Linked DNA regions of Daphnia pulex. The protein of the gene in region 2 binds, or shares a complex with, the protein of the main gene of each other region. Links are inferred from orthologs where the notes say so. Each region holds a gene or a part of one and is shown on either strand. Other genes may lie near its edges.

Region 1 (3,237 bases), on a different chromosome or scaffold from region 2:
AAATACCTTAACTATGCTGGGCTCGTCCTCTGTAGAGCGAGGAGAAACAAGCTACTTTTAGAATCTTCCTGACCCGTCATGCGCTCGGTGCCAAAGCGGATTCGTCTGTGTGTTTAACGAGTTCTACTACTAGAAATAATTAAAATTGTTGTTCCAAACCTTTTTCCTCCACAGGGCACAATGGCTGACGAGGACAGGTAGCCCCGGATGCAAGATCGACCACACCGAGCTTCGCAATTGGGAATACCTTGCACGGCCCGAGTTCCGCGGATTCAGCATCCGTTTTTGAAGCGAATGAAAATGGTTTTTCTTTGTTTTTTCAATGTCCCGCTAATCATTTAAAACATCCACCAATTCACTTGTCAATGTAGAGGCACATGCCCACACCATATCGGCCAAAGCAGAATCGAATTTCAGAACTTTTAATTAGATGCTGCTTGAGAGGAAAACAGATTCCGGGTGTAAATACGGCGATGGGATTCACTGCTTGGGTGGTTTAACGATCATCAAATTCAAACATGACAATTGTGTATATGAAGCTGTTACAAAACAGAAATACACTGCCCTTGGAATTGTTTGTTTGTTGGTTTTTCTTTCTTCCTGTTTGCAGATCGGTCAAAGACAGTTTCACTTTTAAATGCAGTGTGACATGATTCCAGCCACGTTTTCAAATTCGATCTTCTCAGTGATGTTTTTGGTCTTGACCAAATCTTCTTGCGACGTGATGAACACACGGCCGTTGCCCAGGTCCTTCCAGCTGCACTTCCCGACCCATTGTTTCAAAACTTGATCTGAAAAGAGAGGTTTTTAAAATTAAAATGTCGAAAACCATGTTAAGAGGGAATACATGGATAATATTGCCATTACCGTTGACATTGCCAAGAAGTTCTTTTAATACCGGAACTTCAATAGTTTGATAGGTAATGTTGACAACATGAGCAACAAACTTCCTAATAGCATCTTCAAATCCTTGAACAGTAATAATTAGGTCACCACATTTGGCCAATTCCTCCCAAAACTGCTTGAATTTGCACGTTTCCAGCAAATCAGCTAGGACCATTACTCTGCTCACTTGAGGTTCTTCCAACTGAAAAGTAAAAAAATTAATTCCTATTAAATATATTAGATTAAACAATCATATTACATACCCTATCTTGAGTCAAAAGGCATTTGCACAGCAAGAAGTCTGTGTGAGGTAAATTGGTCATTGCCTTCAGTAGGATCAGATTAACAATGTTACTGCGGTAGAAATTTGGGCCAAATTGGTACAATCGCAACACACTTAGGTTGGCCTCTAGGTCATACATATTTTCTTGTGCTTGCAGTTCAACATAGCGTTCTAGCTTCTGAAGATTGTCGGGATTGTACCTAGAAATAAGAGAACAAACCGCCATTGTTCATTACAGTGTTCCTCAACTATGCAGATGGGGTTAACTTTTTCAGATTATTTTCTCTTACCTTTCAATTCCTTGTAGCATAGAAGCGATTTCTGTTTTCATCTTTTCGGCCATTATAATGAACTGTTATTGAAATTGTTAACAATCAGTAACTAGACTTTGACGGATGACGGAAATGTGGCTTTAGCAGACGCTTTCGGCCTAAGAGGCTCTGTTGCCATTTAAAGCATTATCAGCTAAGTGAAGGAGTGGAAACTTTCCATTTTCACTCTGCGATAAAAGTCGAGAATGAAACAAATAGAACGATTTTTTTTTGAGCTATAATTTAGGGCGAAAACCCTCATAAACCCCTCAGTCGGAAAATAACTCCGCTCCTTGGTAGGTGGAGCGGGTGGAGCTGTGGAGCTTCTTTCAACCAATGAAAGTGATTCGAATTTCCGCCAATTTTAAAAGTTGAAGATGTAGCTGACATTTAAATCTTTGAAAAATCTTTGACAGAAGATATTTTCACGGTACACTTAGCACTTAGCAGATTAGGCGATGGTCAAAATTCAAATGATTAAAAAAGACGACAAAAAATAAAAACTAATAACTGTTACTTGCTGCCATCAGTAACTAATTTTAATAATGGTTGCTCAAACATGCTCTATGAACCCTATTTCCCCGAGGAATTCCGAGCAAACATCAAAATGCCACCTTTATAAGATACCGAGAGAGAACATATGAGATTTCCTCGTGTTGTTACTCAAGAATAATTAAAAAAAAACAGTACCGGTAAATTACCGATATTAGGCTAATTACCGGCGGTAATTGAGTGGTTTTATCATAAAAAATGTATTACATTGTACCTTTTTATTTTTTTAACTAATAATTAGTAAGGGTGACGTATTTCTAATTCAAGTTCCCAATTGTTCTTGGTCAAAGTTTCTTCCCATTCGATGGAATCTTCAAACGTTATCTTATCGCAACGTTCCAAAATCAGTTTCTTTAGAGGGATATTCTGTTGTAAAAAAAGGTTCACACCGTATTTAGTTACTTCGTTACAGTGAGTTAACCACAATCTCTCAAGATGACGAAAGGAATTGACATGCGTTGCTTTTCGTATGATTTTGTCAGTTAGGTTATTCAAAAGTTTTATGGAAATGAATGATAGTAACGGAGAAGACAATAAGATTAACACAATTTCTGCGGGGACAAAGGAATGAAGCGAATCATCAGAACATAACATCAATTCTTCCAGATGTTTTAAGATAGGAATTTCCCTTTTATTTCCCGATTTTTGTTCTTCTTCTTTAGGCCAACGATCAAATTTGCTGCGCATATGAAGGCAAAGGTATTGAAGCTTGTGGCAAAATTGCATTATGGTTAAAATGTCTAAGTCAAGGAAGAAAACGTCAAGTTCTAATTTTGTCAAGGAATTCCCAAATTTTTTGAGAAGGGGAAGAACTCCTCCTTCAAAAGTGATACCTCCAGAATATCTAAAAGTAACTTCATTAAAGTTTAAAGGCTTTCTTTGATCGATTTCAAGGATGTAGAGGCTTTTAAGGGAAAGTAAACTAACGAGATCCGCGTCTTTTACGATTCCATCACACATCAATGTCATGTCCACTTTTGTAATGTAAGGACAGAGGAGCACCGATTTTTCAAGACTACCAGCTTTGTATACTGTATTTTTCAAAATATATAGGGCAAGCAACGCGTATTTAGGAATAGGTAGCCCTTGATCTGCAGCATTTTGAGCTATTTCAGCCAAACCGTCAATGGTTGCCTCATTCCAAAGTATTTTCAAGAAAGGCAGATTATTAAAAGCAGTTTTAATGCCTTGATTGGTTATTGCTTT
Region 2 (3,556 bases):
TGCTGGGCAGACGGACGCCACTATTTTGTACGTCGGTTCGGCCTTGGTTGGCGTAGGAATGGCTTCAACCTTCGCAACAGGCTTCATATGGACCGAAACACACCTGCTGGTAACTAACCGGATTTCTGCGGCTTTCTCAGTTGCTTCTTCAATGGGAGAGATGATATTCCCAACGGTACGTTAAATTTAAATGCTAATGATTTCCACTACGTATTTATAACCCGTCTGTTTTGTTTACCGTGTTGATACAGGTAACAGGCGCATTGATCGAGTCGAATCCACTTTCCCTGATGTACATAGTTCTAGGATGCACCATTTTTATCACGACAGTCTTTTTTGTAGCCTGGTACCTGGCAAAACGTAAAGGACGAGGCTTTAGCAGTAACAGCAGGGGCTATCATCTTGCACGTCAAGCCGAGGATGAATCAGCGCAAAACTAGATAACTTTACTTTTTTTTCACTTAAAAATAATGTTTAGGTGAGGTAATCCTCATTCCCTTGATGTTTAGCTTAGAAAGACAAAAGAGAAAGGTGAAAATTCGGTTCATGTCTGTGATAGAGGGTTGAAGAGCTTGATTGGAATCCATTTGCGTGTATTTTTTTTATCCCTTTACATGATCGTAGCATCCAATATTTGATGAAGGAATTTTAGGCTTTTTTCACTGTGTTCCCGATGGTCTGTTAAACGATTGAAAAGAGAAAGATCAGTTTCATTTGACTCGTCAATTTAAAGAACTAAATTGTTAAAAAATAAAATTTTAAAAATTCCAGTCATGAATTTCAAATTCAGCTCACAACTATTTTGAATGAAATTAAGTGAATTGAGAGCTAACTTACTTAGACCATTCGACAGTCAGGATAAGATGGTCGTAACCAAAACCATTCAAGGTCTTGATAGCTCGTTCGGCGTCTTCTCGTCGTTTGTAGCTGACAAATGCAAAACCTCTGGATTGGCCAGTGTTTTTGTCCTAAAATTCAGTTTGAAGCGGTGCCATAATTTTTACAAAATGATAATTAGTGAATAAATTTGAGTCTAACCTTTGAGAGGAAGATGCGTGAGATTTCGCCAATACGGCCGAACAATTCTTGAAGATCGGAATCGCGAGCGTTTTCCGAGAGGTTGGTTACTCGTACAGTGCACCCTTCATCAGCTGTTATCGGGAAAGAAAAGGGTAATCATTAAATAATGTTTTTCCTATGTATGTTTTCTATTACTTCTCCGGTGGTTTTAATAATATGAAATAAACTACTATGAAGAAACTGTATCTTACTTCGTCGACCCATAGCCATAGTCTCTCCTTTTCTGTTGCCACCATCACGAAGTGCAGGTGCAATATAGGCGCTTCCTTCTTTACCACCCTTGGCTTGCGGTCCTCCAGCAGCAGCTGCGGCAGGAGGCGGGCCGGCCTTCTTCTCCTCAGCCTTAATTAAAGAGATATAGAGCAAAATTAGCAAGAGTTCAATTCAAAATAAAGAAAATGTGTTTACCTTATTGAGTGCTTCTTGGACAGGCAAAAGTGTGTCCTTGTAAGGACACTGTGTTGTCCAATGGTCCTCTTTACAGATACGACACTTAACAATGCCCTTCTGCATGCTTTTTAACTTCATAAGAGGGTCATCTTCCTTGTTATCAGGATCCTCTTTGTTCGTAATAAACTGTCAAAGTAAAAATGGTAATTAGCATCCAACGGTTTTGATAGATCAACTGAGAAAAGAAATACCTGCATGGCTACATCTTCAGATACAATTGTTGTTGCAGGGTTTGGTCCTGGTTTATCTTCCTTGGAAAGACCAAATTTTGGCCAACTTTTACGCTGGGCAATGGCTTTAGCTACATACCTTTTCTCTATTTTGTAAGTACGCACCACCTTGAACTTCCTGTTATCATCATCAAGACCATACTCTGTGACAATTTTCAGCCCATTTTTGTATTCTTCAGTGTTAGGGGGTAAACCGAGACCTAAGGAATAATACCGGCATGATTAAAGAAAATCTTACATTAATTACGGGGAAGCGGCATTACTAACCATCGATATCCTCAACGTCATCGGCCCAACTGGATTTAACTCTGAAATCATATCAAGATTGTGTTGTATTTTTAATATTTGCACATTAATTTGTCTCATTTCACTTACTCATTATCAGCAACCGGCATTTTTCTTGGAGAAGATTGATTACGTCAAGTAAATAATCAAAAAGTAGAAAATTCACTGCTATTGCAGAAATGTGTCAGCAAGCAGCCATTAGAACGTGTGTAGAGCGACATTGCCAGTTTTGAAAAATTCATTTCGTAATTTTGACTGCTTTTACAATTTCGTCTGCTCTTCTTCGAATACAATCCCGCCGTTTATGAGATTCCGGCACGTGGAACTCGAATACAGCAAAAATGGCTAGCTTACCACAGAAAAAATATTATCGACAAAGAGCACACTCCAATCCTATCGCAGATCACTGTTTTGACTAGTGAGTATCTTATTTCCAGTTTTCGATTTATCATTAAGTCATTTTCTAACCCAATTTGTCGTTTGAAGTCCTGTCTCTCCCAATGACATGAAATGGGATGAGCTCTATCCTACATTCAGCAAAGATGGAATAATGAAACACAAAGTTCAGTTTGCTGATATTGGATGTGGCTATGGCGGTTTATTGAGTATTTTTATCACATTTTGCCAATAAAATATGTGGAAAATTAATTTTGTATTTTTTTTTAACAGTATCATTATCCACCATGTTCCCAGAGACTTTAATGTTAGGAATGGAGATTCGTTTGAAAGTTTCAGAATATGTCCAGGATCGCATAAAGGCGTTGAGGATTTTGCATCCAGGTGATTACGGAAATGTTGCCTGCTTAAGAAGCAATGCCATGAAGTACTTACATTTATTTTGTTCATTTACTTGGGCATGTTTGCTTAATTTATTCTATGCTACTAGGTACCTCCCTTGCTTTTTCGATAAAGGACAATTGACAAAAATGTTTTTCCTCTTCCCTGATCCTCATTTTAAGAAGGCCAAACACAAGTGGCGTATTATCAATGACACTCTCTTGGCTGAATATGCCTATGTTTTGGCTGAAGGGGTAAGTAGGCAGGCCTAGAACGGCCCTTCTTTAGCTACTTGATGTAGATATCTTGTGTGATTAATTAAATTTTACTTTAGGGTTTGGTTTACACAATTACTGATGTTAAAGATCTTCATGAATGGATGGTTATGCATCTAGACCAACATCCATTATTTAAGAGACTAACCCAGGAAGAGCTGGTTAGTTATACTTTATAATTAAATAGCTATAAAACTACAAATTCTTTTTGCGGTATCAGGATCAAGACATTGTAGTTCCAAAACTGTACGAATCAACGGAGGAGGGCAAAAAAGTCACGCGAAATAGTGGTGATAAATTTCTTGCTGTATTCAGAAGAATTCCTGATCCATTCGTACTTGAAGAAAACAAGTGCTAATGTATACAAATTTGTTTGCCGGTTCCCTGCTCGTCACTTGTATTGCTCCCAATGGAACTGTTTGCTGGAATTCACATAATCAACCAGCTTTAAGCTGCCAT

The links. The genes of interacting proteins can lie anywhere in the genome.
Region 1: eukaryotic translation initiation factor 3 subunit G-like (region 2) and eukaryotic translation initiation factor 3 subunit K-like share a complex: the UniProt entries of both Caenorhabditis elegans proteins name them as parts of the eukaryotic translation initiation factor 3 (eIF-3) complex. The link is inferred for Daphnia pulex from reciprocal best matches to the Caenorhabditis elegans genes eif-3.G and eif-3.K.

Annotation. Positions count from the first base shown.
Region 1 is NC_060028.1:2,216,569-2,219,805, forward strand, and holds eukaryotic translation initiation factor 3 subunit K-like, read right to left. Parts: upstream 1,621-3,237; 5' UTR 1,512-1,620; coding exon 1,459-1,511; intron 1,369-1,458; coding exon 1,149-1,368; intron 1,088-1,148; coding exon 868-1,087; intron 792-867; coding exon 634-791; 3' UTR 512-633; downstream 1-511. Other genes in the region: acylphosphatase-2-like, read left to right, coding at 175-289; uncharacterized protein LOC124209413, read right to left, coding at 2,269-3,237. UniProt on the Caenorhabditis elegans protein: Component of the eukaryotic translation initiation factor 3 (eIF-3) complex, which is involved in protein synthesis of a specialized repertoire of mRNAs and, together with other initiation factors, stimulates binding of mRNA and methionyl-tRNAi to the 40S ribosome.
Region 2 is NC_060023.1:11,177,208-11,180,763, forward strand, and holds eukaryotic translation initiation factor 3 subunit G-like, read right to left. Parts: upstream 2,273-3,556; 5' UTR 2,156-2,272; coding exon 2,136-2,155; intron 2,069-2,135; coding exon 2,028-2,068; intron 1,961-2,027; coding exon 1,722-1,960; intron 1,657-1,721; coding exon 1,489-1,656; intron 1,423-1,488; coding exon 1,272-1,422; intron 1,261-1,271; exon of another isoform or gene 1,152-1,260; coding exon 1,039-1,151; exon of another isoform or gene 969-1,038; coding exon 838-968; exon of another isoform or gene 679-837; coding exon 660-678; 3' UTR 577-659; downstream 1-576. Other genes in the region: flocculation protein FLO11-like, read left to right, coding at 1-175, 252-440; tRNA (guanine-N(7)-)-methyltransferase-like, read left to right, coding at 2,387-2,463, 2,532-2,650, 2,715-2,868, 2,932-3,076, 3,157-3,258, 3,318-3,455. UniProt on the Caenorhabditis elegans protein: RNA-binding component of the eukaryotic translation initiation factor 3 (eIF-3) complex, which is involved in protein synthesis of a specialized repertoire of mRNAs and, together with other initiation factors, stimulates binding of mRNA and methionyl-tRNAi to the 40S ribosome.